7 linked regions of the Macaca mulatta genome follow. The protein of the gene in region 7 interacts with the protein of the main gene of each other region in a pairwise test. Links are inferred from orthologs where the notes say so. Each region holds a gene or a part of one and is shown on either strand. Other genes may lie near its edges. The genes, in order: KAT5, APOL6, CUL3, SHQ1, XAGE3, FOXR1 and GMCL1.

What was found.
Region 1: the proteins of GMCL1 (region 7) and KAT5 interact in binary tests that used the Homo sapiens proteins (3 or more experiments, as listed by UniProt). The two-hybrid records come from large-scale screens. The link is inferred for Macaca mulatta from reciprocal best matches to the Homo sapiens genes GMCL1 and KAT5.
Region 2: the proteins of GMCL1 (region 7) and APOL6 interact in binary tests that used the Homo sapiens proteins (3 or more experiments, as listed by UniProt). The two-hybrid records come from large-scale screens. The link is inferred for Macaca mulatta from reciprocal best matches to the Homo sapiens genes GMCL1 and APOL6.
Region 3: the proteins of GMCL1 (region 7) and CUL3 interact in binary tests that used the Homo sapiens proteins (3 or more experiments, as listed by UniProt). The two-hybrid records come from large-scale screens. The link is inferred for Macaca mulatta from reciprocal best matches to the Homo sapiens genes GMCL1 and CUL3.
Region 4: the proteins of GMCL1 (region 7) and SHQ1 interact in binary tests that used the Homo sapiens proteins (3 or more experiments, as listed by UniProt). The two-hybrid records come from large-scale screens. The link is inferred for Macaca mulatta from reciprocal best matches to the Homo sapiens genes GMCL1 and SHQ1.
Region 5: the proteins of GMCL1 (region 7) and XAGE3 interact in binary tests that used the Homo sapiens proteins (3 or more experiments, as listed by UniProt). The two-hybrid records come from large-scale screens. The link is inferred for Macaca mulatta from reciprocal best matches to the Homo sapiens genes GMCL1 and XAGE3.
Region 6: the proteins of GMCL1 (region 7) and FOXR1 interact in binary tests that used the Homo sapiens proteins (3 or more experiments, as listed by UniProt). The two-hybrid records come from large-scale screens. The link is inferred for Macaca mulatta from reciprocal best matches to the Homo sapiens genes GMCL1 and FOXR1.

What each region holds. Positions count from the first base shown.
Region 1 is NC_133419.1:8,673,432-8,677,231, forward strand, and holds the end of KAT5 (histone acetyltransferase KAT5), read right to left. Parts: intron 3,749-3,800; coding exon 3,608-3,748; intron 3,527-3,607; coding exon 3,433-3,526; intron 2,784-3,432; exon of another isoform or gene 1,815-2,783; coding exon 1,655-1,814; exon of another isoform or gene 1,526-1,654; coding exon 1,444-1,525; exon of another isoform or gene 1,350-1,443; coding exon 1,215-1,349; 3' UTR 802-1,214; downstream 1-801. Other genes in the region: RNASEH2C (ribonuclease H2 subunit C), read left to right, coding at 1-167, 245-364, 601-627. UniProt on the Homo sapiens protein: Catalytic subunit of the NuA4 histone acetyltransferase complex, a multiprotein complex involved in transcriptional activation of select genes principally by acetylation of nucleosomal histones H2A and H4.
Region 2 is NC_133415.1:15,895,044-15,899,633, reverse strand, and holds the start of APOL6 (apolipoprotein L6), read left to right. Parts: upstream 1-1,636; 5' UTR 1,637-1,813; intron 1,814-2,370; exon of another isoform or gene 2,371-2,656; intron 2,657-4,590. UniProt on the Homo sapiens protein: May affect the movement of lipids in the cytoplasm or allow the binding of lipids to organelles.
Region 3 is NC_133417.1:129,759,085-129,762,904, forward strand, and holds part of CUL3 (cullin-3), read right to left. Parts: intron 2,633-3,820; coding exon 2,404-2,632; intron 1-2,403. UniProt on the Homo sapiens protein: Core component of multiple cullin-RING-based BCR (BTB-CUL3-RBX1) E3 ubiquitin-protein ligase complexes which mediate the ubiquitination and subsequent proteasomal degradation of target proteins.
Region 4 is NC_133407.1:136,238,681-136,242,500, forward strand, and holds the end of SHQ1 (protein SHQ1 homolog), read right to left. Parts: intron 1,928-3,820; coding exon 1,375-1,927; 3' UTR 383-1,374; downstream 1-382. UniProt on the Homo sapiens protein: Required for the quantitative accumulation of H/ACA ribonucleoproteins (RNPs), including telomerase, probably through the stabilization of DKC1, from the time of its synthesis until its association with NOP10, NHP2, and NAF1 at the nascent H/ACA RNA.
Region 5 is NC_133426.1:52,729,770-52,734,176, reverse strand, and holds the start of XAGE3 (X antigen family member 3), read left to right. Parts: upstream 1-1,577; 5' UTR 1,578-1,655; intron 1,656-2,361; exon of another isoform or gene 2,362-2,413; intron 2,414-2,521; 5' UTR 2,522-2,529; coding exon 2,530-2,610; intron 2,611-3,448; coding exon 3,449-3,554; intron 3,555-4,407.
Region 6 is NC_133419.1:119,658,714-119,662,985, forward strand, and holds the start of FOXR1 (forkhead box protein R1), read left to right. Parts: upstream 1-1,424; 5' UTR 1,425-1,564; coding exon 1,565-1,625; intron 1,626-4,272. UniProt on the Homo sapiens protein: Transcription factor which acts as both an activator and a repressor.
Region 7 is NC_133418.1:54,908,548-54,912,367, forward strand, and holds part of GMCL1 (germ cell-less protein-like 1), read right to left. Parts: intron 2,602-3,820; coding exon 2,489-2,601; intron 1,608-2,488; coding exon 1,542-1,607; intron 1-1,541. UniProt on the Homo sapiens protein: Possible function in spermatogenesis. Enhances the degradation of MDM2 and increases the amount of p53 probably by modulating the nucleocytoplasmic transport.

The sequences.
Region 1 (3,800 bases), on a different chromosome or scaffold from region 7:
TGTCATTTCGGGGCCGCTGTCTACGGGGCGAGGAGGTGGCGGTGCCGCCTGGCCTCGTGGGATACGTGATGGTGACGGAAGAGAAGGAAGTGTCCATGGGGAAGCCAGACCCCTTGCGGGATTCCGGGACTGACGACCAAGAAGAGTCGCCGCTGGAACGGGACTTTGTGAGCAAAGGGATAGGGTTGAAAGGGGGTGCGGGCGGGACCTGTAGTCCCGATGCTGAGCCAGGCCCCTTCCTCAGGACCGCTTCATTGGAGCCACTGCCAGCTTCAGCCACTTCACCTTGTGGGGTCTGGAGACCATCCCTGGCCCGGATGCCAAAGTGCGTGGGGCCCTAACTTGGCCCAGTCTTGCGGCAGCGGTGAGTAGATGAGGAGTTCCGTCTTGTCCCCGGGTGGATGGGCTGTGGAGCACAATTGGGCAGACGAAGCCTGGAGGATTCTACTGGGTAGTGCGTGGGAAGCGTAGCTCCCCGACCACTCTTCCTAGCCATGTCTAGAAGGGGTTATTCTGAACAGCTGGGTCCTTCCCCGGGTCTGGGGGCCAGCCTGCCGCCCTGCCTTACAAGTCCAACAGTAGAGGCGACTCCTCTTGCAGATTCACGCACAGGTGCCCGAGGACTGAGAACCAGAGCTTGAAATTCAAAGCTGCGATCCCTTCACAGCAGTAAACCAGCTCTTTGGAACCACTGATTCCATCACCCCAATAAAGGAGCTCTTTACAGCACCTGTGAGTCCGGGCACCTTAGAGCCCCTAAGCCAGCATGGACCCCTCTCCCCCAAGAACCTTGCATGGCTCTGGCATATAGAAACAATTTATTGCCGTGGGCAATGGGGATAAGAGAAGCCAGAATTTTTTGCAGCCAGCACCCACCCCACCCCCAACTTCTACTTTACAAAAGAAATTTTTACAACCACCAGCCCTCTGTACAGAGCTCCCCCACCCCCCATCTCACTGTACACAGCTGCCTGGCTCCCTCTGATCCCTGGTTCAGAGCAGGCCTGGGCCTGTGGCCAGCTGACCTTGGAGTTAGCCTGAGCCCTGAGCTCGCCTTGGTGCCGGGCACCAATGGGCCCTGCCAGGCCTGTCCCCTCCTTTTCGAGCTTTTCAGCCCCATCTCCCTTAGAGTGCTTTGTGGGAGCTGCAGTGAGGGCGGGGTGGGCTATCAGCCCCAGTCCTGCTGTCTTAGCACTGCAGTGGGCAGTGCCTGGTCACCACTTCCCCCTCTTGCTCCAGTCCTTGGGAGTGAAGTGCAGACACTTGGAGTCAATCCGCAGGAGCCGCTTGAGCATAGCCCGCTCATGGCCATCCACGATGTCCTCTGACAGTGTGAGGATGTACTGGCCCTGGGCAGAGGAGATGGGTTCAGCAAGTGGCCAGCGGACAGGGGCCTGCACTCTGCATCCCACACACCTGTCTCCACCCTGCCTGCCTCCCTACCTTGTAGTAGTTGATGAGATTGAGGTACTGCAGAGTGGAGATGACATCCTCCTTCTTGATGCTGGTGATTTCACTGATCTCACTGTAGGAGAGCAAAGGTCAGGTCCCCTGAGGACCTTCATCTGTCCCCAGGAGCCCCAGGAGAGAGTGAGAAAGCCCAGGAACAGACAGGCCATGCCATGTACCCCCAGGTAGGCAGCGCCAGGCTCACTTGATGGTGATCTGTGGCCTCTCCCCGCTCTCTGACTTCAGCCCCATCAGGATCTCCAGGATGGTCTGGGACCAGTAACTTCGATAGGATAGGAGGCCAAGGTCTGAGAGGGGCTTCTCAGGGGTCCCTGTTTTCCCTTCCACTTTGGAGAGTTCATAGCCTAAAGCAATGGAGCAGGAGAGGGTGAGTAAGAGGTCATAGATGAACATAAGCAACATTTAAAAACACAGGTCGCCAAGGCAGGCTGCCTAGTTCCCATCATGGCCCTGCCACTTGGCAGTTCTGTGGCCTCCGCCTCTCTGCGCCTCAGTTCCCTCAGGAAGAACTAACGAGTATTCACTCTTCCCCTGGGAGTTGAGCACAGTGGAGGGCATGAGAGCACTGAGAGGAGCAGCTGCAGTCAACCACGAGGGTGATCAGAGGCCAGTGAAGGCTTATGGGCAGGGGATGCAGGGAAAATGGCTCAGGGGAAGAAAGTGCCTCCAATTTTCCTTTGCCATCCCAGGCTCCATGTCTGGGCATGTAAGGAAGGAAGTGGGGACAGATTCCTGTCTCTAATCCAGGCCTGAGAATGCTTGAATTCTCAGTCAAATCAGTCCTCCTAGCTGGGATCTTGGGAGTGTCAGCTGCTGTTAAGACCTGAGTGGCCTGACTGGGTGGTTGTGAGGATGCAAGGAGAAAAGGTGCACCAAAGTGCTTCCCAAGTTGGGGAGACCATTCCTGAGAGCCAGGTGACTGACCCCCACCATGGCTGTTTCCCTCCAACTCCTGCTGATAGCTGCGCACTGGGAGGCAGTCCCCAGTGAGATCCTGGCCCTGCACAGCCCTGAGTGGCTTCACATCTCTTGGGCAGTGTCTTCATTCTCCCCACCAGGGACCTGGGATGTTTGTGACTTCTAGAAGCCCTTCCTCACCCTCACAATGGACCTTAGCCCCTTGGTAGTCCCACCCACATCCCATCTCCATTGCAGTCTGAGCTCCAAGACTGAGTTTCTTCAAGCATCCACTTGTGCTACCAGGCTGAGAAGTTCTGAGGATGTGACCCCATCTGGGCATCACTTAACCAATACATTTCTCGAATGGACCATAACCTTGATCAAGTAAAGCCTCTGTGTCTTCACCAGGCAAACAGCTAGAACTTCCTCTTCTTTTCTCAGGTCAGAGCTTAGTTATTCCAAGTGAGTGGTGAGATAGAATGCGGGGTGATGGGGAAGAGGCTGAGAAGGAGAAGGAGCCTCAGGGTTGGGGAGGGCACTGAAGAGCTCATGTGTGATGAAGGTCAGAGTCCCTTCTGGCTTTAAGAGACTGACCTCACTGGACACGAGGAGCAAGGGAGAATTCCATGCTTACGTGTATCTGTTGACAGCATTTTGGACACCTGCCTGCACGGCTCAGGCGACAACTGGGGACATTAACCACTGGTCCTTGCCCAAGGACTTGTATCATGTGACACCGGTTACCAGATACATGAGCACCAGCGGCTCACTAACCTGCCCATGGCTCCAGGCAGGAGCATGTAAGTCAGATTTGGGGAAAGCTGAGTGGCACTTAGAACCCTGGCCAAGGAGCAAACTGTGGGGCTGAGAACCTACCCCAGATAAGCAGGGCAGTCAGCCTGAATGGAGAGAACTCTGGGAGAGTGCCACTGTTATTTCTGGCTGGCTCCCCTAGAGACCGGGCTGCACAGCCACGGTTGAGAATCACGGTAGCCTGGCACATCTGCCTATGGGGCACCGATGATGGGTGCACTACCCCCTGGCTGCAGCACACATACTCACTGAACTCGATCAGCAGCTTGCCGTAGCCCCGGCGCTGGTAGGGAGGCAGGGTTAGGATGCAGGCCACATTGTAGTCTTCTGTCGATTCTTTCTCCTGGAAAAGGGGGGCAGGTGAGTGTCAGGGAAGGGACCTGGCTCAGGATAGGGCACAGGGACAGCCTGGACAGGCACTGACCTTGGAGAAGTAGCCCACGATGTGGAAGCCCTTACAGTCATACTCCGTCATGACGTAGAAGAGGAAAGGGTCTGTGTCATAGTACAGTGTCTTATGGTCAAGGAAACACTTGGCCAAAAGACACAGGTTCTGGGAATAACTCTGCAAGAGAAAAGGCTTGTCACCATTCTGGGTATCCTGCCTTGAGCCTGGC
Region 2 (4,590 bases), on a different chromosome or scaffold from region 7:
GGGGCGATCGTTTCACAAGAGCCCTGGTGGTAAACACTGCCCCTCATCCAATGGCCGGTCTGGCCCCTGAGACTCCCAGGACCGAGCAGTGACCACAACATCTGGGTCTGTTGCCAGGGAAAACAGCAGGCAGGCCTGGGATGGCTCAGCGACCCCAGCCAGGCAGCCAAGTCCGCTTCAAGGTCACGCTGTGTTTAGAGTGTTCTCCAAGTGTGGGAGGCCACAGCAGGGCTGGCTTGTGGAATCTGGGATGCCAGGGTTGGAAAGGCCCCTACAGGACCCAACTCAGCAGCGCTTAACCCCTCATTCCTGCTCGTAGGGCCCAGTGACAGGAGGTGGCCTCCATCGTCGCAAAGGCAGGACTGGCTAGGTGGGCCACGCCTTCTGCAAAGCAACAGCACCCAGTGTGGCCTCAGCTAGGGGTGGTGACTGGGGATTTCTGCAAACCACGTGACTTCTGATCACAACGTGACAGAAATGTTAGAGAGACACAGATCTCAGCCCGTAACCACACTGTGGGCTCATTCTTGCAGACACAGCGCCTAGGACTGGTTCTTAGCTGTGTAATCACTAACAACCCACAACTTCTAGAAGCCTGAGTTTCCTCTTCCTTAAAGTGGGAGACAGAGTATCACATCCTGTATCTCCAATCCTTGAGGCCAGATGCATGTCAGAGTCCCCAAGTGATTTTTAGAAAGGTAATGGGGTGCAGGTATCACGTACTGTGTAACCCACCCACCCCCAGCAGCCCTCCTCAGTCAAACATATTAATATTTTTACAGTGACAGTGAATATTCAAATTAAGGAAGAGACATAAAAACCATAAGTGAATTCATGCCAGATCAGCTCAGGTTTTGTCACTAAATGAATAAATTATTATTTTTTTTAAGTTTTCGTTTTCAGGCCGGGTGCAGTGGCTCACACCTATAATCCCAGCACTTTGGGAGGCTGAGGTGGGTGGATCACTTGAGGTCAGGAGTTTGAGACCAGCCTGGCCAACATAAAACCCCATCTCTACTAAAAATACAAAAATTAGCCAGGCGTGGTGGCAGGCGCAGGTAATCTCAGCTACTGGGGAGGCTGAGACAGGGGAATAGCTTGAACCCAGGAGGCGGAGGTTGCAGTGAGCCGAGATCGTGCCATTGCACTCCAGCCTGGGCAACAGAGCAAGACTTCATCTCAAAAATAAAATAAAAAATAAAATAAAAAAGTTTCCATTTTCAGAGGATTCTGCATTTCAGAGTTATTAGCCCTTAAATGCCGGCCGTGCACCTCATAGGGCTGTTATCCACATCAAGATGCTGTGGAGGGAAGCAGTTTCAGAACAATCAGTGATGATCGCTACTGTGAATCCACTATTCATCAGGTGCCCCATCGCTTGCTCATGGGCTCCTCACCATAGCTCTAAGCCACAGGAGCTATTTTCATACCCCATATAGGTCCATCCTATAACACAGCCAGGACAGAGACGAGAGACTCAGGCCTTCTGACTTTGATTCTGCTCTTTCATCTCGTTGTGCATGCAGTTAGAGAAACAGGCAAAAAGGAAAATGAAAGTGCACAGCTGGAGCCCATGATTTCCTGGAAGAGCCCGAGAGTTTGGCTTTTTTTTCTCCTGCAGCACTTAACAGAAACCAGTTTTGCAATCAATTCCCGTTCAAAAGCCACCCTACTCTTCCTATCTGTCTTTCTCCAGCCCAGACGCTCACAGCCTCCTGCAGGACCGGGGGCCTCGGAGAGTCAAGGACAGAGGTTCAGGATCTTCCTCTCCCTCGGGACCCGAGGCCACAAAGGAGAGCTCCGTGGAGAGAAGGTGAGATGGCAGGCAGAAGTTGGGGGAGAAGGGGGCTGCTGCTCTAGTCCCTGAAGGACAAAGCCCCCAAGGGGTTAGCTTTAGGCACCTGACTTAGGAAAAAGAGCTGCTGTCCAAGCAGCGGGGTTCAAATGCCAGCCAGAGCGTGGGGAGAGTCTGAGGATCAATTTCTCCTATGTTAAACCCGGTAGGTTTCTGTCCCTTACAGCCATTTGAGGGTTAAATCAAAACGTGATAAAGCATGTGATGTGACTAGCCAAGCTGCATTTGCCCCTCCACTGCTGGGGATCCAAGGGCTTAAGCAGAGGTGATCTGGCACTTAGAAAGCAGGTGATTTCAGCTGGGCGCGGTGGCTCACGCCTGTAATCCCAGCACTTTGGGAGGCCGAGGCGGGCGGATCACGAGGTCAGGAGATCGAGACCATCCTGGCTAACACGGTGAAATCCTGTCTCTACTAAAAATACAAAAAATTAACCAGGCGTGGTGGCGGGCGCCTGTAGTCCCAGCTACTCGGGAGGCTGAGGCAGGAGAATGGCGGAGCTTGCAGTGAGCCGAGATCGCGCCACTGCTCTCTAGCCTGGACGACAGAGCAAAAAAAAAAAAAAAAAAGAAAGCAGGTGATTACATCAGCCGCCACAGGGGTTTCTCTAGAAATTCAGTATAGGAGTGGTTTAGGGGTGTCATTTCACAAGAAAAAGGGTGCTGGGTGAGTTGTCCGGAAACTGCAAAGCCAACCTACCGAGTTTTCTAGATTGTAGGTTTATGTGAAGTTGTTTAGGAAGAGGGTGAGGGAGTTTGTGATAAATATTAGGGTGACTAGGCCAGGCGCAGTGGCTCATGCCTGTAATCCCAGCACTTTGGGAGGCTAAGGCAAGTGTCTTGTTTGAGCCCAAGAGTTTGAGACCAGCGTGGGCAACATAGTGAGATCCTGTCTCTAAAAAAGTCAAAAATTAGCTGGGCGTGATGGTGCACACCTGTAGTCCCAGCTACTGGGTGGATGGGGGGTGCTGAGGTGGAAGGATTACTTGAACCCAGAAAATCAAGAATGCAGTGAGCAGTGATCACACCACTGCACTCCAGCCTGGGCAGCAGAGTGAGACCCTGTCTCCAAAAAAAAAAAAAAAAAAAAATTGGGAGATTATCTTGAAGCTGTGTTTTCAAAGTAAGCAGACTTTTCTTACTTAGATTGTGTATCTGAAGAAGTTGGTTTTGTGGGGGAAGGCAGGTAAGGAAAGACTGTCATAAATATCCTATAAGCTTTAAAATGAAAATAATGTCTCAAATCCTCTCCCAATACAACTCTCATCTCACAACCACCGAGAGCAGGTCAGAGGGGAGGGAATGGGATCTGCTCAGACGAGTTTCCTGCTGTTACCTTTGCCCTGCATCCCATAGAACTAATGTAAAAAAAAATAGGAGAGGTACTGGGGGACTCTGGTGAAAAATGGGGTTCCAGACCAGGGTCTCTCACCCCCGGCACCCTTGTCATGTTTAACCAGGTGATCCCTGGTTGTGGGGGCCGTCCTGTGCATTGTAGGGTGCTTGGCAGCATCCCTGGCGTCTGCCCACTACATACCCTCTCCAGTTGAGACCATCAAAAATGTCTCCAGATATTAGCAACGTCCCTGGGGAGCAAATGTGCCCTGACTGGGACCAACCACTCCAGACTCAGCGTGGCTGGAATCGTACAGGCTCTCCTGCTTACTGTGTAACACTGGCCTCCCTATGTCTCAGTTTGCACATCTGTAAAATGGGCATAATCTTGGCATCGATTTCACAGGGTCACTGTAAAGCAGGTAGATGTATGTCTGGCGAAAGTAAGTCCTTAAAGGTGCCAAGCCCCTCAAATCAAACCAAGCTTCACATACCAGAGAGGGGAGAACGTTTTTATCTTTGACACATTAATTCTTTTTCATAGACTGCCCCAAAGAAATAACCAAACATGTAGACACACATCTATATAAGGATTTTAACCAAAAATTATAAATACAAAATTTAAAAATAACTGAAAACAACCCAAAGTTTCAACAGTGAGAAAGTTACTGAATGTGTAGTGATACATTGGTATAATGAAATGTGACACGGTTTCTATATATCACCTGGGGAACTACTACCATACAATGTTTTGTTTTTTTGTTTTTTTTTTTTGAGACGGAGTCTTGCTCTGTGGCCCAGGCTGGAGTGCAGTGGCCGGATCTCAGCTCACGCAAGCTCCGCCTCCAGGGTTCATGCCATTCTCCTGCTTCAGCCTTCCGAGTAGCTGGGACTACAGGCGCCCACCACCTCGCCCAGCTAGTTTTTTGTATTTTTTCGTACAGACGGGGTTTCACTGTGTTAGCCAGGATGGTCTTGATCTACTGACCTCGTGATCCACCCGTTTCGGCCTCCCAAAGTGCTGGGATTACAGGCTTGAGCCACCGCGCCCAGCCCCAACGATACAATGTTAAGTGACAAGAATTCACACAAGCTACCTGAACAGCATTCATTTAAATTTTGGGTTTGTAAAATAAAATGTCACTAGTTTTTATTTCCATGTGGTGAGTGTACAGGTGGATTTTATAATTTATTTCTAAATTTTCAACCGTAAACTTGTATTCATTTAAACAATTAGAAAATGAATGGCTATAAGAATTTGTGTCCCAGGCTGGGCATGGTGGTTCACTCCTGTAATCCCAGCACTTTGGGAGGCTGAGGCAGGTGGATCACCTGAGGTCAGGAGTTCAAGACCAGCCTGGCCAACATGGTGAAACCCATCTCTACTAAAAATACAAAAATTA
Region 3 (3,820 bases), on a different chromosome or scaffold from region 7:
TTAATTTCATAACGCTATCTGCATCTAATAACAATCCAATTTATCCTCCATTCACAGTGAGAAAACTGTTTTTCGTTTTCTGATTTATGAGAATTTGGCTTCATAATGGTGAAGTTGCCTCTGATATGTTCTCAACAAGAGCAACTTTTTTCCAAGAGCGGGGTCTACCACAATTAAGATCTTTTGCCACTAGGTTTCTAGTGGAAGCTCAGAAAAATTAAAGACAACAGTTCCCCCTTTTTTTCTTAAGACAGCATCTCCCTCTGCAACCCAGGCTGGAGTGCAGTGGCATGATCTTGGCTCACTGCAGCCTTGACCTCCCTGGCCGGATTCAAATGATCCTCTCACCTCAGCCTCCCAAGTGTCTGGAACTATAGGCATGTGCCATCACGCCCAGCTAATTTTTGTGTTTTTCATAGAGACAGGGTATCACCAATTTGAACTCCTGAGCTCAAGCGATCCACCCACTTCAGCCTCCCAAAAGTACTGAGATTACAGGCGTTTGCCACACTGCCCGGACAAAAACAGGATTTTAAAATTTAATTTAGAATCACAGATAGCTACTGTGTTGTTGGAAACCTAAGGTACTAAATAAAGGAGAACTCTGGTGAGTACTATTATGATATTCCTTCATTCACGTTAAGTGCCTGCAATGATAGGCACACCTGACACCTTTTACATATATCTCCACACAAGTTACAGAGATGCTGTAATTCAGGTATGCCCAACAACCTCTCCATCAAACATTTCCTAGCCCCTCATCTCCAGCCCATTTAATCATCCCTCCCTACATGCCCCTAAGGTAGGTAAGAAAGCATTCACTCAATACCTAAACAGTACATTACATAATTTATCGATACTCATTTTGTTTAAGCAGGGCAAATGCTTTGCATGAAGTCCTAGTCTACCAGAGACCATTTAGAGAAGGGTCATCAAATTAGAACCCGTGGGGCAAATAAGCCTGCCACCTATTTATGTACATACAGCTCATGAACTAAGGATGGTTTTCACATTTTTAATCGCTGAGGAAAAACTGTAAAGGATACTATTTAGTGACGCATAAAAATTATATGAAATTTAAGTTTCAGGGCCCATAAATAAAGTCTTATAGAAACACAGGCTTATTCATTTGTTATTGTCTATGACTATTTTCTCACTATGACTGCATGGCTCACAAGCCATTTTATTCAACAAGAACAAAAAAGGCTTGCCAACCCCAGACTTAGACCTTAATTTTAGCAAACACGGCAAACATACTAGATGACTTGTTTTTTTTTTTTTTTTTTTTTTTTGCTTTTACAAAAAAAGGTTTAACAGAATAGTCTTTTAAAAAGGAAGTCTCTCTAGTTTTTTTTTTTTTTTTTAAATTATGTATCACTTTTCAGGGATTTATCATATATACAAAAATTTAACAATTTTAAAACACAAGGTAAGGATTCCACTAGAGAGAAACGTGGCTCAACTTCCCACCAGCTTTCTTTTTCCCTTCTCTTGTATCCTCCTGCTCTTCATAATTCTCTGTTAAAAAACTTTTTTTCATTCCCTACATAGCTCATGACCCCAAGAGGCAATATGTATTTCTTTTACTAAAAAGAAGTGGATAAAATATCGCTCAGATTTCATCTACGAAGCAGGAGAACAAGGGACCATGTTTTTTTATTTTCTAATACCATATCACTGATAAAGGCAAAGTTTTAAATCAAAGCATCAGAAACTAAGAATAGAAGATATGGTTATTGTTCTTTTAACTTGTAATTTCTTCTAGGATACTTGTCACAATTTTTTTTTTACCCCAGGGAAATAAAGATAAATAGCTACAAAAAATAAATGTTAGTTATCTCAATAGTGTTTTCTACTTTTATGCACTCCTCCTTCCTCCTTTTCCATTCTGTAACTTCAGTGTTCCCCAAACCAATCTAATTTATCTAAGTGTATCAATATGGAAGACATAAATATTTTTGCATTTTTGGCACCCTATCACAACTAAATCCCAAAGGAAAGTCTACAAAAATCTAAGGTGGAAATTTAAGATTTTAAGAGAATCACAAAACCCCAAGAGTATGTAGGAATAAAGACAGCCCACATCCTTTGGTATACGACAAGTACAGGAATGAATGAGGAGCTCATTGGGCTCACCTACTGTTACACTTTTTATCTTCTGGATTAAGAAAAACATAAAATGAGACTTAAAGACAGGAAATGCTCAATTCATTAGAAATATCTAAAATCTTCATTGGTAAGACAGTATCAAGCTTGGAAATCCCACCCAGGTTAACAGCGGAGACAAATTAACAATATACACAACTTCTTGAAAACTGATACCTGCTTTAAATGTAGGAAAGTTTTAAAAATATCGATAAGGCAGAATAAGGATTTAATTATTTTTCAATCGGTAACACTTACCTTCTGTCTTTCCATTTTTCAACATATGTACTAGCCCAGAATTCTCCATTTCTACTATAGTCTTCATGTGCTTGGAAATGAGTTCCCTCTCAACTACCTTCACAATTGGTTCTTCCGTTGATTTGTCAAGGCAGTGCATCACTCGTTCTATCTCTTCATTAATTCTAGCTTCTACTTTCTTTATATATACTGAAGCACTATTTTCTGCTAAAAATTTCTGGCTTTCCATCTGCAATTTAAAAATGTAATTTTTTTAATATAGAAGAAAAAGGTGTTTTTGCTCTTAGCTGGGGTTTCTATAGTGTTTATAATAAATCAACCTAAGTAAAATAAGTACTAATAGGATTTTGTGTAATCTCTCATTACAAAGATTGATATAGTCTGAATTATATCCTTTAAAGCCTTTGGTGTTTACATAATACTAAATTAAAACATTTCCTGTAAACAATGTTTTTCAAACTGTGCCAATGCACTCCAAAAAATAGCCAAAAAAGTAAATATATATGCCAGCGAGGGTCAAAAATATAGAAGCATCTGACTCCAAGATAGAGTGGGATGTTCTTTTTAGATTTGTCTGAATGCAAAATTATAACCAGAAAGATTCATCATGTTTATCATACGCTTTGCTGGCATACTGCTGGTTACTAAAGTCTTCCTGCCATCCCACTCCCAGTCTCAACGGAGTAAACATATACACTAACGTTTGAGAAAAAGAGTTTTTAAATAACTAATAATCTTTTTATTTATTTATTTATTTATTTTGAGGTGGAGGAGTCTTGCTCTGCCACCCAGGCTTGAGTGCAGTGGCGCGATCTCAGCTCACTGCAAGCTCCGCCTCGGCATTCTTCGGCCTTAGCCTCCCGAGTAGCTGGGACTACAGGTGCCTGCCACCACGCCCCGCTAATTTTTTGTATTTTTAGTAGAGATGGGGTTTCACCGTGTTAGCCAGGATGGTCTTGATCTCCTGACATTGTGATCTGCCCGCCTCGGCCTCCCAAAGTGCTGGGGTTACAGGCGTGAGCCACCGCGCCCGGCCAACATTTTAGCTTCTTACTAATACATCTGTTTTGGCAACACTACAAAATTCCTACTGTTATGGAATGTTATGTTATGCTACGTTATGTTATGCTCAGATAGTTATGGTATTCAGGAAAAATGCCTGGTTACAGTTACCTTACAAATACTATCTTATGCTTACTGGTACTCAGTTATTATTATCATCATTTCATTACAAATTAGTACCAGTTTAGCTTTACTTTTAGCAATTTAGTTGGTTTGGACCACTGTTGCAAATTTCTATCAATAGTACTCACTGGCCTGTAACCTTTTAATCAACAACCTTTAAGGCAAATATGCACTACAGAATCATTCATATCCTTATGTGTGCTTTACTAGTAATTTAAGTGACTAAAAGCCT
Region 4 (3,820 bases), on a different chromosome or scaffold from region 7:
GGGAGACAGGGTAAGACCCTGTCTCAAACATACGCACACACACACACAGGCAAACATATACACACACACAGAGGCAAAAGATTTGAACAGACACTTCCACAATGAAACACCACTACACATCTATAAAAATGGTAAAAGTTTAAAAGACTCACCATATCAGTAACAAGCATGTGCAAGATTGGAACTCTCATAGGCTGGAACTCTCATAGATTGGAACTCTCATAAACTATCACTTTTGGTGGGAATGTAAAATGGTACAGCCATGCTGCATAACAGTTCAGCGTTTTCTTAAAACACTAAACACATACCTACCATATGGCTCGGTCATTCCGCCCTCAGGTATTTGCCTAAGAGAAATGAAAGCATACGTCCACATGAAGACTTGTATACAAATGTTCATAACAGCTTTATTTATAACAGCCCCAAAATGGAAACAACCGAGGCGTCCATCGATAGGTCAATGAACAGATCTATTCAATGAAGTAGTACTCAGCAATGAAAAACACAAAAACTCTTGACACATGCTGCCACATGGATGAATCTCAAAATAACTAGACCGAGTAAAATAAGCCTGACCAAAAAAGGGATACATATTGTATGATTCAATTTACATAGAATTCTAGGACATGCAAACTAATAAGGGGGCCCAAGAGCACTTGGGGATGATGGGTCCGCTCCTCACTTCAATCGCGGTGACAGTTTTATGTGGGGTACACATATGCCAACACACTGTACACTTTCGATACGTGCAGTTTATGGGGTGTCAAGTACACTTCCTAAAATAAAAATATTGATGGGCTCTACATTCTGGAGACACTGGCAGTAGAACTATTATTTTCAGCTTGAAATATTAGCTACACTTTGGTAAAAATACTTTTGAATTTTATCTTCACAGTGATAGCAAGGAAAACAAAAGGTATACACATTCACTGATTGAAAAAAAAGTCATAAAGTTGTCCCCGTTTCTGTGGGGGGTTGGTTCCAGGACTCCTGAGGATACCAAAATCATCAGATGCTCAAGTCCCTGATAAAAAATGGTGCAGTATTTGCATATAACCTACCCACATCCTCCCGTACACTTTAGATCATCACTAGATTCCTTATATGATCCCATACAATGTAAATGCTGTGGAAATAGTTGTTATACTGTATTAGAGAATAATAACAAGAAAAAAAGTCTCCATGTTTGGTACAGATGCAATTTTTTCTTAAATATTTTTGATCTGCAGTTGGTTGAATCCACAGATGCGGATACAAATACAGCAGGCTGTCTATATACTAAGAAAAACTACAAAGTGAAAATGAGGAATTCTCATTTGGTAAATGAAACCAAATCTACCGTATTTCTCAACAACAAATAAAACCACCTAAGAGTCAATCATTTGGTGTCTGACGGCCGTCTCTCTCCTGCATATTGCTGTGGTTTACAGCAGTGGTGCTCTTGGGTTCAGAAACCTGAACTGTGGTCTTCAGTTGTTCCCCAAGCTCCTCTATCAGAGGTCCAGACACTCCAAGAGGCTGGGAAGAGGCAAGGGGCTTTCCCTGATTGGCATCAGACTCCTGGATGGCTGTGTTTTTGCATACTCCACCATCAACAATAAGAAGGGCACTGCTTTCTTCAAGAAAGGGACCTTGCAAAGAATTGACTGTCTCAGATGGACTGTCTTTGAGTTCATCTTGTTCTGAATCTGAGTCTGAGTCTTCGTTTCCAGATGACACGGTGCTGTCTGAGTCCTCCGAATCACTTGCCTCAGAGCTGGAGCAAAGTGTCTGCTGCCCAGAAACTGAATGGGCTGCTTTTAATGCAGTTTCCTCCTCCTGGACAAGCAGTGCTGCTGCTTCTAGTTCTTCCAGTTCTAACCCCAGCTGGGCCTTTGTAAGGGAGACTTCCTTTAAGGCTTCTGCAAGAGCTGCCAACTTTTTGGATCTTGAAAACATTTTAAGAACAAAGATTAGAATTATTTATTAATTGGCCTGAGGATAACAGGGTATGCAGCTTCCAAAAAAATAAAGTTGAATCCATATTTTAAATGGCACACCAGGATATATACCATAACAGATCCAAGATATATATGTAAAAACAGATCCAAGATATACATATTTTTTAAAAAGCGATTAAAAGTATTACAGGGAAACACAGATTTCCTTTATGACCCTAAGAAGGAGGAAGGCTTTTCTAACTATGACTCAAAATTCAGAAGCCACAAAAGAAAAGACTGATAAATTCAACTAAATAAAATCAATTTCTTGGCCAGGCGTGGCGGCTCACGCCTGTAATCCCAGCACTTTGGGAGGCTGAGGTGGGTGGATCACCTGAGGTCAGGAGTTCAAGACCAGCCTGGCCAACATGGTAAAACCCTGTCTCTACTAAAAATACAAAAAAAAAGCCGTGCACAGTGGCAGTCACCTGTAATCCCAGCTACTTGGAGGGCTGAGGCAGAAGAATCACTTGAACTCAGGAGGTGGAGGTTGTAGTGAGCCAAGATCACACTACTGCACTCCAGCTAGGCAACATAGCGAGACTCCGTCTCAAAAAGAAAAAGAAAAAAATCTATTCCTTCTGGGTAATATATCTATAATAAGTGCATATATATATATATATATATATATATACTAATAAACCCTAATTCTCCTAACAGAGTTCCTAATAATGGATATATAACAACCTAACAGAAAAATGGACAAGCAGACAATTTTCACAAAAGGAAATATAAGTAACTCTTAAATGTATTAGATGTTCAACTCCAGTCAAATAAGAGAAATACAAATTAAAGTCATATGTGAGATATATTTTTTATATGTCAGATTGGCAAATACCCAAACATTTGATATTATTCTGTTAGCAAGACTGCAGGAGAAAAGGCACTTTCATATACTGATGGAGGGAGATTAAATAGCTACAACCCCCAAGAAGGAGAACTTGGCGATAACTTTCAAAATGGAAAATGTATATACCCTGGACCCAGCAAGCCCCATGTCTAAAAATTAAACACATGTAGCACACACACTACATAACATAGGTCTGAGGTTATTTACTATGACATCATTTTTTAATACCTAAAAATTGGAAACAACCAAATGTCCTTGTTATAAGACTGGTTGACTGGTGAAATAAGTTATGGCATATCCACACAAAGGAATAGCCTACAGCTGTATAATGAATGAAACTCTCCATGGGCCAATCCAGACTTACTGCTTAACACCACAAAAGGCTCACCATATGTATATGCTACATATATATAAAAAGGGAAAATAACAGGAAAGATATCAAAACAGATGTTTCTATTTGCTTGTATACTTCTCAATAAACTCTCCAAAGTGACAGAAAACAGTAACTTATGTAAAGGAGATAGGATGGGAACTGGAAATATGGGGGATGACACAGGATGATGGTGTGATGGAGCCTTTTCACTGCCATTGTTTTATTTTTAAACCTATATAAATGTATAAATGTTCACAATCTTAAAATGTACAAGGAGGAAAAGCAATATCAGCAGCATGGAGTACTTTTTCTTAAACCATTTCATATTATTTCAGAAGATTTTTTTGAGACAGAGTCTCACTCTGTCGCCAGGCTGGAGTACAGTGGCGCGATTTCGGCTCACTGCAACCTCCACCTCCCGGGTTCAAGCAATTCTCCTGCCTCAGCCTCCCGAATAGCTGGGACTACAGGTACGTACCACCAAGCCCAGCTAATTTTTTTGTATTTTTAGTAGAGACAGGGTTTCACCATGTTAGCCAAGATGGTCTTGATCTCCTGACCTCGTGATCCACCAGCCTCGGCCTCCCAAAGTGCTGGGATTACAGGTGTGAGCCACTG
Region 5 (4,407 bases), on a different chromosome or scaffold from region 7:
TGCCCTGGCATTCATTCTCTGCCGCCCTTCTGCATACAATTGCTCCTAACTGAAGCCAGCCCCCCACCTCAGCTCAGGATCCCATACCTCCCACTTTCTCAGGGGCTTTGCTCCTGCAATGATCATTCTGTCTCCTGAACCACCAACTGCTCCTTCTAAATGGGATCATTCCCCAACCTAAGGGGGGAACTTACCTCCTTCCCCCATGTCCTTCTATAGCTACTAACATATTTATCTGCTGCCCTTCAAAGTGAAACTGCGTGAACTTATACAACCCACTTCATTGGAGTCATTTTTCAAAATTATATAGAAAGGAAAATGAACCAGAACAGCCAAAACGATTCTGAACTATAACTTTGGGGAACTCACACTACCTAATATCAAGAGTCATGTTAATTCTATAGTAACCAGAACGTGGTACTGGGGAAAAATCAACAGACCAGAATGGAGTCCGGAAATAGGTTCACAGACATGATAAACTTATTTTCAAAAAAGGTGCAAAGGCAATGGAGAAATATTATCTTCCTGAGAAACTGTGTTGTTTTCCCCCTTGCTTCTTGGCCACTACATTCATTGTTCTTTACTACCGTGGGTCCGTTCCCCATGTTTCTCCTTTGCAGTTCAACTGCTCTTCTGTTTAACTGTCTGTCTGCCCCACTACAGTGTGGTGGCCTCCATGGGACATACCACGTGTGGCTCCTTGGTCTTCACATTTCCAGCATCCCAGATATTTCCTGCAACATGGCAGGCACCCGTGCATATATAAATAAAAAAAAGCGTGTATATATATATAAATAATTTATTTGTCACAAAAGGTCTTTCTGAGACACATCCTCCACTCATGGTGACATGGGACTGTCCCCAGTGTTTCTGGATGCATAAGAATTGTAGGGCAAGAGAGGGAACAAAGCCTCTTAGTCCCTTTCCTTCTACTACAAACATCTTAGGGATGTGAGTCTGGGGACAGTGAGAAAACCCCGGCTGGCCTTGCATGTGCTTGACTCAGTATGCACACCCCTTGCTGCCCAAGTCCCTTGTTGTCCATGTGCCTTGCTGTCTGCCTTGTGTCCCTGCAGAGCTGTGCAAGGAGACATCGTGACTTCCTTCTGTGCTGCTGACTAGGAGTCAGCCGGTAGGTCCGAAGATCAGTCCTCCCAGGGTGGAAGTGGGAGAGAGTGTGAGGAGGAGCCCGCGGCGCAGTCTATGTCCTCCGATTGGGGAAGGTCCTTGAGGTTGCCATTCTTCTCCTAACAGGCGGCGACACAGCCATGGCCTTGGTATCGTGGGTGTCCCAGACAGGGGAGGAAGGAGGGCCATAGAGGGGAGGAGGACCTAGTGAACATGGAGTGAGCTTTGAAGGGGGAAACTATTTGTGGTATTTGAGTCCCGGAGGCATATGAAACCGCCCACAGAAGACACATTCCGAAGTCTTCAGTGGGAACCTGGGAGAGGGCAGAGGACTGCGCGGCGCGGGATGGGGTGGGGCGAGGAGGGGCGCCACAGCCCACTAGGCAGGCACCTTCCTCACTGCGCATGTCCACTGGGCGTCTTCCCCTCTGCACCTTTGCCCATGTGGTGAACGCCCTGGAGCTGTGAGAGTGTGAGGGTCGCGTTCCTGCTGTCTGGACTTTTTCTGTCCTACTGAGACGCAGCCGGTAGGTCCACAAGCCATTCCTCCCAAGAGTTGAAGTGTGAGTGAGTGTGAGGAGGAGCCAGTGGCTATCTGGAGCGTGGGACAGCGTGGTCCACGGCCTCAGAGGTCGAAGGGTCTCAAGGTGCTCGTCCTTCTGCTCGTGAGGTGGCACTGCCGTGGGCCTTGTTGTAGTGAGGTCAGAATGAGGGAAGAAGGTGGGCCGCACAGTTGAGAGGGGTCAGGTGAAAATGGGGCGAGTGCTGGGGGTGCTGGGGCAGGTATCCGAGTCCCTGGAACCCTCGACCGAGGACAGATTCCAGGCTCCTTTGTGTCGACCCGGGAAGGAGCAGGGTGGGCATTAAGGAAGGGAACTGGGAACGCTGCGGGTTGGCGACCATGGCCCTGAGGTCTGTAGAGCGCCTGGCAGAGGTGTACAGTGAGGAGGGCCCAGCGCTGTGTGGCAGCTTCTCAACTCCACCGTGGAGGTTTGAGTTGGTGGGGCTCTGCGTTCCAACAAAACTTGATTTTAGGGGGGAAATGGGCCTAGCAAATGGGTGTGTGACAAAAGCCGTAGTTACTGCAGTTTTAATTCTCTGGCTGTATTTTCCCAAATGTCTCCACAGAGGAGAGTTAAGTTGTGAAACCAAACCTTATCGGAAATATCCTGTGTCTTTTGCCAGGAGCCTTAAGAAATTGCTCAGTTAGCTTGACCAACTTAATGGCTTCGCAAGCATTCATAAGGCACACACACTTACACTTGCCCTGAGACTTAGTTCGAAAGTATTTACAAACTTTTAAAAAACGACAAGTTAACATTTGGTCATGGAAGTGGTCAAATATAGCTGTCTTTTCAAGTACATTTACCAATTCACAGTATTCTGCTTGCAGTGTGAAATATGATTTGGCGAGGAAGATCAACATATAGGCCTAGACCAAGGAGAAGTGTACCACCTCCTGAGCTGATTGGGCCTATGCAGGTGAGTGCCTTAACCTTTGATGTTTTCTATTAGCAGAAAGTTATTTTTGTAACTTGTTGTTGTTGCAAAACTGTTTTGTAATTGTTGTTGAACCAATATAGATACACCAATAAAGGTGTCCCATGCTGATAGAAATTATCATGGGGGCCTGGCGCGGTGGCTCAAGCCTGTAATCCCAGCACTTTGGGAGGCCGAGACGGGCAGATCACGAGGTCAGGAGATCGAGACCACCCTGGCTAACACGGTGAAATCCCGTCTCTACTAAAAATACAAAAAAAAAAAAAAAATTAGCCGGGCGAGGTGGCGGGCGCCTGTAAACCCAGCTACTTGCGAGGCTGAGGCAGGAGAATGGCGTGAACCGAGGAGGCAGAGCTTGCAGTGAGCTGAGATCCGGCCACTGCACTCCAGCCTGGGCGACAGAGGGAGACTCCGTCTACAAAAAAAAAAAAAAAAAAAAAAAAAAAATTCATGGCATCTCATGAAGGAAAGACGAATCCAAGAGGAGTAAGTTCTCCTGTTGTCTGGGTGGATGATCTTGTGTTCCCCAGATTTTGCCCATGATTTCCTTCTCATGCTTATTTGCAAAAGATTACACACATTCATCCTAACATAGATTAAAACAGCTTCCAAAGCCCTTGAGGGCAACTGTCTTAGAGTAACCTCTCTGTGGGAAGAGTAACTTTATGAAAAATAAGTATGTGGAATAGTGTTGGAGAAATGTCTTTAGACTTATGATCAGAAACATCTATGTATTCTGTATGTTTATATTATTGAAATGTATTGATAACAAAACTTTTTATCTGCACACACACACACACACACACACCCCTCGTTCCAGGAGCCCAGTGATGCGGAGCCTCAGCAAGCGGAACCACTAACCGAAAGTCAGGATTCTACACCTGGTCAGGAGAGAGAAGAAGATCAGGGTGCAGCTGAGATTCAAGGTACTGGGAGGGGAAAGAAAGAATGTCTATGGGGAGGGAAGGAGGCCTATGTGTGCATCATGCCTTATGCCATGACCAGTAACAGGAGGAAAGAAAACATTGGGAAAGGATCTCAAACATTTGCTGAGAGTTGGCTGGACAAGTGAAGAGTATAGTTTGCAGCTTCATAGAGTCCCTGGATATAATGAATCTTCTCCTACCTTTAAAATATATTTTGGGCCGGGCGCGGTGGCTCAAGCCTGTAATCCCAGCACTTTGGGAGGCCAAGACGGGCGGATCACGAGATCAGGAGATCGAGACCATCCTGGCTAACACGGTGAAACCCCGTCTCTACTAAAAAATACAAAAAACTAGCTGGGTGAGGTGGCGGGTGCCTATAGTCCCAGCTACTTGGGAGGCTGAGGCAGGAGAATGGCGTGAACCCGGGAGGCGGAGCTTGCAGTGAGCTGAGATCCGGCCACTGCACTCCAGCCTGGGTGACAGAGCAAGACTCCATCTCAAAAAAAAAAAAATATATATATATATATATATATATATATACACACACACATATATATATATATATTGTATGCTTGAAAATACAGTCCTTGCTAAATCAGATGAAACTGTTTAATTTGATGTACAAAAATGTACATTATTTCACTAGTTTACTTTGATCTTCTTAGAATGTTGTCTGATCTTCTTAGCCGAGGGGTCCACAGTATTGTATGCACCCTTTAATAGCATGTAGAATGCCAAGTCACCCTACCTTGTAACACCCTGAATAAAGCCCATTTGTATAAGGATGTTAGCCCTATTTTGTAAAGAAGAAAACTGAGGCTCTGAAATGGAGGCTTACCAAGAACACTTGACT
Region 6 (4,272 bases), on a different chromosome or scaffold from region 7:
GCTGGGCATGGTGTCGCACACCTGTGGTCTCAGCTACCAGGGAGGCTGAGGTGGGAGGATTGCTGGAGCCTGGGAAGTCGAGGCTAGAGTGAGCTGATTGCACCACTGCACTCCAGCCTGGGTGACAAAGTGAAATCCCATTTCAAAAAAAAAAAAGAGTAAAGATGGCTGGTCTGATGGTAGTGGGTTATCAGAACTTATTATTAATAACATTAGTGTCACTAAAGTTGGTATACAAGCCCCTATTGCTAAATTTGGCTTAAAAAAAAAAAAAAGAAATTGTTCCAGATTAATGGAGAGTAAACAGACACGGATATTGAGTGTATTGCATAGTGCTGAAAGGGATTCTAGGCCAGAAAAAAAATTTATATAAATGACATTGTTGGGACAATTGGTAAAATTTGAATAAGAACCATATATTAAATAAAACATTGAATCAATCTTAAATTTTCTGATTTCTGATTTTCTGGATAAAACAATATCCTTGTTTTTAGGAAATAACAGAAATATTTATAGGTAAAGGGACACGATGTCTGCAAATTACTCTCAAATTGTTAAGCAAAACATAATATATATGTAGTATATATGGAAATAAAAATATAAATGTGATAAAATGTTAATAATTGGTGTAATTGGTGAATCTGGGTGAAAACGTATACAGGAATTTTTTATAGCATTCTTGGGATTTTTCTGCAAATCTGAAATCATTAAAAACAAAATTTTTATTTTAATTTTATTGTCCCCTAGGCTGGAGTGCAGTGGCACCATCTCGGCTCACTGCAACCTCCACCTCCTGGGTTCAAGCGATTCTCCTGCGTCAGCCTCCCTGGTAGCTGGGTTACAGGCTTGAGCCACCACGCACGGCTAATTTTTGTATTTTTAGTAGAAACGGGGTCTCACCATTGGCCAGGCTGGTCTCAAACTTCTGACCTCAGGTGATCCGCCCACCTCGGCCTCCCAAAGGGCTGGATTACAGGCGTGAACCACCGCGTCCGGCCGAAAAACAACAAAAAATTTTTTCATCAAATCACCATCCAATCTAACTCCATCTCCACCATCTACTACAGATGTGATCGTGGATAAGCCATAAACCTTTCATAACTTTTAGAAAGTAACTACAATTATGGTAGAAAGGATCAATGTTAAAGCAAAACTATAAAAATAAATAAATACGATCACGTGACCATGGCGCCTTTTCAATGAAATAAGGGGCTTGGGCAAACGAGGATGCGGAAGATGGTCTGGGGTCCCTTCCGGATCCCCAGGTCCTCGACCCCCAGCATGTAAGGGTAGGGTCAAGGAGGGTCTTCCTAAGCGTTCCTCGGCGCCGTCCTGAGGAGATTAAAGGCGTCAAATGGACCGCTCCACACCTGAGCTGCCGCCAAGCTAACTCAATCGCAGCCGGCGCATTTGAGAAGGCGCCTGTGAAGGTCGCTCCTCAGCCGCCGCGCTCCCACTCCGCGCCGCCGCGCCTCTGCCCGCCCCGAAGGTGGACGTGAAGCTCCAGCACCTCGACTTCTGGGCCAGCCTCCATGGCCAGGTCCCGGGACTGCTGGACTGGGACATGGGGAACGAGCTCTTTCTGGCCTTCACCACATCTCACCTCTCCTTAGCCGAGCAGAAACGTGAGTAGCGGGTGGGGTGAGGTGGGGGCTGGGCGTGGCGGCGGGGTGGCCTAGGGGCTCGCGGGACCCCGGGGCCGGGCGGCTCCCCAGCCTTCGCCCCCGCCTCCCGGGGAGGCTTGCGGGGGCCGAGCCCCCCGGGCTTAGCTCCGCAGCCCCCACTCCACCCCTACTGGCGAACTCCACTCGGGAGTGGTGGGGCGGGGGCGGTTCGCGCCTGACTCTGACTCAATTGGAAGCTCCCCGAGGGCAGCTGGTCTTACCTAAAAACGGAGGCTTTCCACTCTACGTCACCCGCCAGGCTCCCAGAACATTCCAAGGCCTCTTCTGGGTCTTCGTCTTGGCGCTGGTCGCCATTTGCTATACTGTATATTTCAGTTACTTTTCCGTCTCTTAAAAAAACAGGACTCATCGTTTTATCCATGGCTGTATTCTCCCTCTTAACATATTGTCTGACACCTAGAAGTGCTCCGTACTTGCCAAATGCTTGGTTGACCGTTGTGATCTTTTAGGTTTTCTTTTTCTTCTTTGGACCTCAAGTGTGGAGAGTTGAGGTAATTACTCCCCACATTCATGGTACCTTTTTGCCTGCAAGGCCCTTGGATTAACTTTTTTTTTTCTCCAAATTTATTGTTTTTGAGACGGAGTCTTGCTCTGTCTCCCAGGCTAGAGTGTCAGCTCACTGCAGCCTCCGCCTCCCGCATTTAAGCTATTCTCCCGCCTCAGCTTCCTGAGTAGCCTGGATTGCAGGCGTGCGCCACCACGCCCTGTTAGTTTTTTTATTTTTAGCAGAGGCGGAGTTTCACCACGTTGCTCTTGTCGGCCTTCCAGAAGTGCTGGGATTACAGGCCTGAGCCATCGCCCCCGGCCTTAACTCTTCCTTTTGCCCCTTAAGTCTCCACCCCTCCTTCCATTACCTCCGCTACTCCCATAACCAACCCTAATCCATTTAACGTCTGTTTTCTCCACTCATTGTTTTTGAGAGCTGTTGTTTTGCGTTGCTAAATTCAGGCCTGGTTCATTATTTCTGATTGTTGTTACTATTCTATCTGCTGGGTGTCCCACCTTTTACATTTTAATTTTCTTTACACCTAGATTGCTTCCAACTCTTTGCCACCATAATTAATGGTAATGAACATTCTTTCTTGTTTCTTCATTCAAGAAATATGTATTGAGGCCGGGCGCGGTGGCTCACGCCTGTAATCCCTGCACTTTGGGAGGCCGAGGCGGGCGGATCACGAGGTCAGGAGATCGAGACCATCCTGGCTAACACGGTGAAACCCCGTCTCTACTAAAATACAAAAAAAAATTAGCCGGGCGCGGTGGCGGGCGCCTGTAGTCCCAGCTACTCGGGAGGCTGAGGCAGGAGAATGGCGCGAACCCGGGAGGCGGAGCTTGCAGTGAGCCGAGATGGTGCCACTGCACTCCAGCCTGGGCGACAGAGTGAAGACTCCGCCTCAAAAAAAAAAAAAAAAAAAAAAAAAGAAATATGTATTGAGCACCTCCAACTGACCTGGCACTGTTCTAGAAACTCATGATACACAGTGAACAGAACAGACAAGGAACCTTACATTCTACTGGGGGCAGATAGATAATCCACATAAGTATAATAAATGGGTAGACCATATAGTATGCTATAAAGTGATCATCTGCAATGGGGAAAGAACAGGAGGAGACTCAGGAATAGGGGAAGCGTATGGTAGCAGCTACAGTTTGTTTTTGTTTATTTTTGTTTTTTGAGATGGCGCCTGGCCCTGTTGCCCAGGCTGGAGTTCAGTGGTGCAGTCTCGGTTCACCACAACCTCTGCCTCCCGGGTTCAAGGAATTCTGCGTCAGCCTCCTGAGTAGCTGGGACTACAGGCACGTGCCCCCATGCCCGGTTAATTTTTGTATTTTTAGTAGAGATGGGGTTTCACTCTGTTGGCCAGGCTGGTCTCGAACTCCTGACCGTGATCCGCCGTCTCAGCCTCCCAAAGTGCTGGGATTACAGGTGTGAGCCACGGCACCCGGCCTTTTTTTTTTTTTTTTGACATGGAGTCTCACTCTGTCGCCCAGGCTGGAGTACAGTAGCGCAATCTCAGCTCACTGTACCCTCTGCCACCCAGGTTCAAGCAATTCTTGTGCCTCAGCCTCACCAGTAGCTGGGATTACAGGCATGCATCACCATGCCCACCTAATTTTTGTATTTTTAGTAGAGACAGAGTTTCACCATCTTGACCAGGCTGGTCTCAAACTCCTGGCCTCAAGTGATCTGCTTGCCTCGGCCTCCCAAAGTGCTGGGATTACAGGTGTGAGCCACCACGCCCAGCGGCAGCTACAGTTTTAAATAAGATTGTGGGGTTGAACTCAATTAGGAACATAATATTTGAGCAAAGAGTTGATAGGAGGGGAGGAGTGAGCCTAGAGGGTACTTGAAGGGAAAGTGGTAAGGAGGTCAGTAAGGCTGAATGACAGTAAATAAAGAGCTCCGAAGGGTGTGGTTGAGAGCAGGAATGCCTGTCCTCTAAGGACTTTAGGGTTGACTTTGAGTCAGATGAGGGTTGGTTTTAAGGTTTTGTTTGAGATGGGCTCTTGCTCTTGCTCAGGCTGGAGTGCGGTGGCACAATTACCTCCAGGCTCAAGCAGTGCTTCCGCCTCAGTCCCCAAAGTA
Region 7 (3,820 bases):
ACTATAAATAAGTTCCCTGACAGCAAGAGACCATGACAAAATCATCTCTGCATCCTTCACAGCCACAAACAGAGTATCTTTACATAATGAACAGTTAGGAAGTACTTGCTGCAGGAATAAATGGATAATATGCGTACTTAATCCAAAAAGCCAAACTAAGCTGGGTGCAGTGGTATGTGCCTATAATCCCTGCTACTTGGAGGCTGAGGTGGGAGGACTGCTTGAGCCCAGGAGTTTGAGTCTAGCCTGGGCAACATAGCAAGGCCCCCATCTCTTTAATAAAGAAAGACTGCTATATAGCTTGGGTGGTGGGCAGTCCTCATTGTCACCGCCATATATCTTGTAGGTTTTTAGAACCCTGGAATCCATTTCTCATGGGTGACTGCGGTCCTATTATTCCAGCTTGGACTACATGGTCCACAGGTGACAGAGAAATCTTGGCCCTCTGGCTCCATCTCCAGGACCTCTGGCTCTGCGCTGTGCTGTGTGCGACCGGGTCCCGCTTGAAGATGAAGGCAGTGCATTTGACTGTGGGAGCCTCTGCAGCCCCAGCCTGAAGCCTGCATGGGACCCTGTGTGGTGCTAACAGTTTTTTTTAAAGGAAGACTGCTATTTTCTCAAAGAGAGGGGACGTCACTATCTTGCCCAGGATGATCTCGAACTCCTAGATTCAAGCAATCCTCCCAACTTGGCCTCCCAAAGTGCTGGGATTACAGGTCTAGGTTTTCCTAAATCTGCTTTTCTGGTAGAGAAACCCTGAGGACTGATTGGCTTTTGATTGTCTAAAACCATGGCCTGCGAATTCGTAACATTCAGGGACATGGCCATAGACTTCTCTCATCAGGAGTGGGAATACCTTGACCTGGTTCAGAAGACCTTGTACCAGGAGGTGACAGTGAAGAACTATGGTAACTTGGTCTCAATGGGGTCTCACTCACACTGAGGCTGGAGTGCAGTGTCGCAATCACAGCTCACTGCAACCTTGACCTCCATGGCTCAAGCAATCCTCCTGCCTCAGCCTCCAGAGTAGCTGGGATTACAGATTTGAATTCAAGGAGTGAAATAATCAGAGACGGAAAAATGTACATTTATAGGAGCCACACATTTGTTACGCCACATCAGAGAATTCATTCTAGTGAGAAAACCGATCAACATGAAAAGTTTTTGAAGGTTAAAAAAAAAAAAAAAGGCCAAAACAGTTTCTTCAAACTTATTTCTCAATAATAAAGATGATTTTTAAAATATACCTTTTAAATTCTCTAAAAGTCTGGCAAAACCTGAAACTTTTCTATAGTCTTATAACAGTAATGCATTTTTCTATTAAAATTGGTTAAAACGGTAGACATAATATCCATTATATTATTCACAACAAAGAAATAAGTTTGTGTAGCATTTCTTCAGCTTATGGATGTAGTCAAGCCCTTTCATTAAATTGTTTGCTTTTTCATATTTTTGTGTTCTACAAAAATGTTACGTACTTTAACAAATGATAAACAATATTTTAGGATGACTAATTATAAAGTTACTTGAAATTCAAATACCTGAGTTCTTTAAAAAGTTCAACATTCTGGTGAGTCATCAAATTGTTTAGAAGCCATTCAAGGCACCTGAAATTAAAACATATAATTATTACATTATATACCATGTATTTACAATTTATTAAGTAGGACTTATAGTTAAAATCAGAATATTAATCTTGCCAGAACATGCTCAAAACTTTTAACTTAACAATAGGAAATTTAGTATTATTTTTGTCAGTGGATATTATTAAGAGAATATTTCCTTTATATTAATGAGAGCATTTCTAGTTTTAAAACTTCATTTTGAGTTTGTGTTAAATAGTTTATCAAGGGGTCTGCATAGTACTATAACCTTTAAAATCTCAAAACAGGTACTGCAACTTTCAAGAGTTAGAAGGACTGTCAGTCATTGCAATGATATAATGTCTATCAGGCCTACTTCTTAAACAATTTTAATAGAAAATATACTATAAAGTGCAGTGGCATGATCACAGCTCACTGCAGTCTTGAACCTCCTGGGCTCAAAGAATCCTCTGACCTCAGCCTCCAGAATGGCTGGGACCACAGGTGCATGCCACCATGCCTGGCTAATTTTTTAAATTTTTTGTAGAGATGGGGTCTCCCTATGTTGCTCAGGCTGGTCATGATCTCCTGGGCTTAAGTGATCCTTCTGCCTTGGCCTCCCAAATCACTGGGATTACAGGTGTTAGCTACTACACCTGACCAAGAGTGACCAAGATTTTTATAAGCATATATATAACCCATATGGTCACTGACAAAGACAATACTTTTGAGGAATTTACTAATTAGTCCAAAAGTTAAAATGGGCTTTTTATTTAACAAAATTCCATTCCCCTATCCTAATTTTCCTTAATTCTTTCCTTCTTATAGCTATACATTCTCTTAAGAAACTAAAGCAACCAAATTCCTAAAGTGGGATAGGAAGAAAAATGAGAAAGGTAACTCACTTTTTCTTTACAGAATCTAATCCATAGGTCCCTGCTGATGTGTAATAGCCACATACAGTTTTCACATTAATTGTTTCCTTCATTGTCTCACCACACTGCTGTATTAAACCGTCCTGTAAATATAAATAAGCACTGGAAAGGCCCATTTCACGTGGGAAAAATTAGCTCTGATATGTGCTTTTACATATTAAAAAGGAAAAAAAAAAAGAAGAAAGAAAAGAAAGAAAACTCATTAAGTGCAGCAAACCTAAGTTTTGTGTTTTTTTTTAAACAAGTCCAATAAAAATACTGAAAAAAAATTCAGCAAGTATTCAACTAAATACTTGGAATTTGAAAATGGAAGGTGGGGGGAGCAGTCAGGTAGAGATGAATACTGCTATTCTTTTTCTTTTCTATTCTTCCCTCTCTGAGACCTTTGCAAATTTCTTTAGCAGCATTTTGTCTGTTTTGCCATTTCTTTTTAAATTAAGAAGTCTACATAGTCAGTTAACCATGTCATGGGCCTAAACAAATAGTATGCATTAGCAGAAAGTAATTATTAAGTTTAAAATAACTACAATATCTAAGAGACACACCTAAAACAAGTATATTGTTATTTTAAATTATGAACATTAAAGTTTTAACCTAAAATGTTTATATAGGTTTTAAGCGAACTAACTTTAATATATGGAAAGAATACTATTTTTCGTTCAAATTTCTGAAATATATTCATCATGCAGGTATATTAAGTTAAAGAGTTAGTAAATCATAAAAGTAACGCAGAAAGTGAATTTAGAACAAAATCAAAAGGACCAGAGTTAGAAAATAAAGTATACTTATTGGAAATAAGTATTGAAAGGATCAAAACATTTTGAAAATCAAATGATCTCAACCAAGGATATTTAGCAAGCTATTAACTAATATTTCAAATGAATCAGTACAAAAATACCACACAAAAGTTAAACAATTTTTTAAGATTAAAATAAAACATTGACTCCATTAGGATTTTCAACTTACCTGGAAATCATTCTAGACTCCTCCCCTTTCCTCTTAACACTTAGTCTGTCACCAAGTCCAGTGGATTATCCCTGAATCTCTCTGCTATCTACTTTTTCCTCTCCAAGCTTATTGCTACTACCCTACTTTCCTCCCTTGCACGACTGCAATAGGTTTTGTCTCTAATGCTGTATTCATCATTCCTTCAATTCATCTTTCACATTGTTACGGAAGTATTCTTTCTAAAACATAACTTCGTCTTTCCCCTGATTAAAATATTCCAAAGGTGCTGTGTACGCTAAACTCAGCAATGTGTAACGGTATTTTCATGATCTGGCTTCTGCCCCTCTCTTCTCC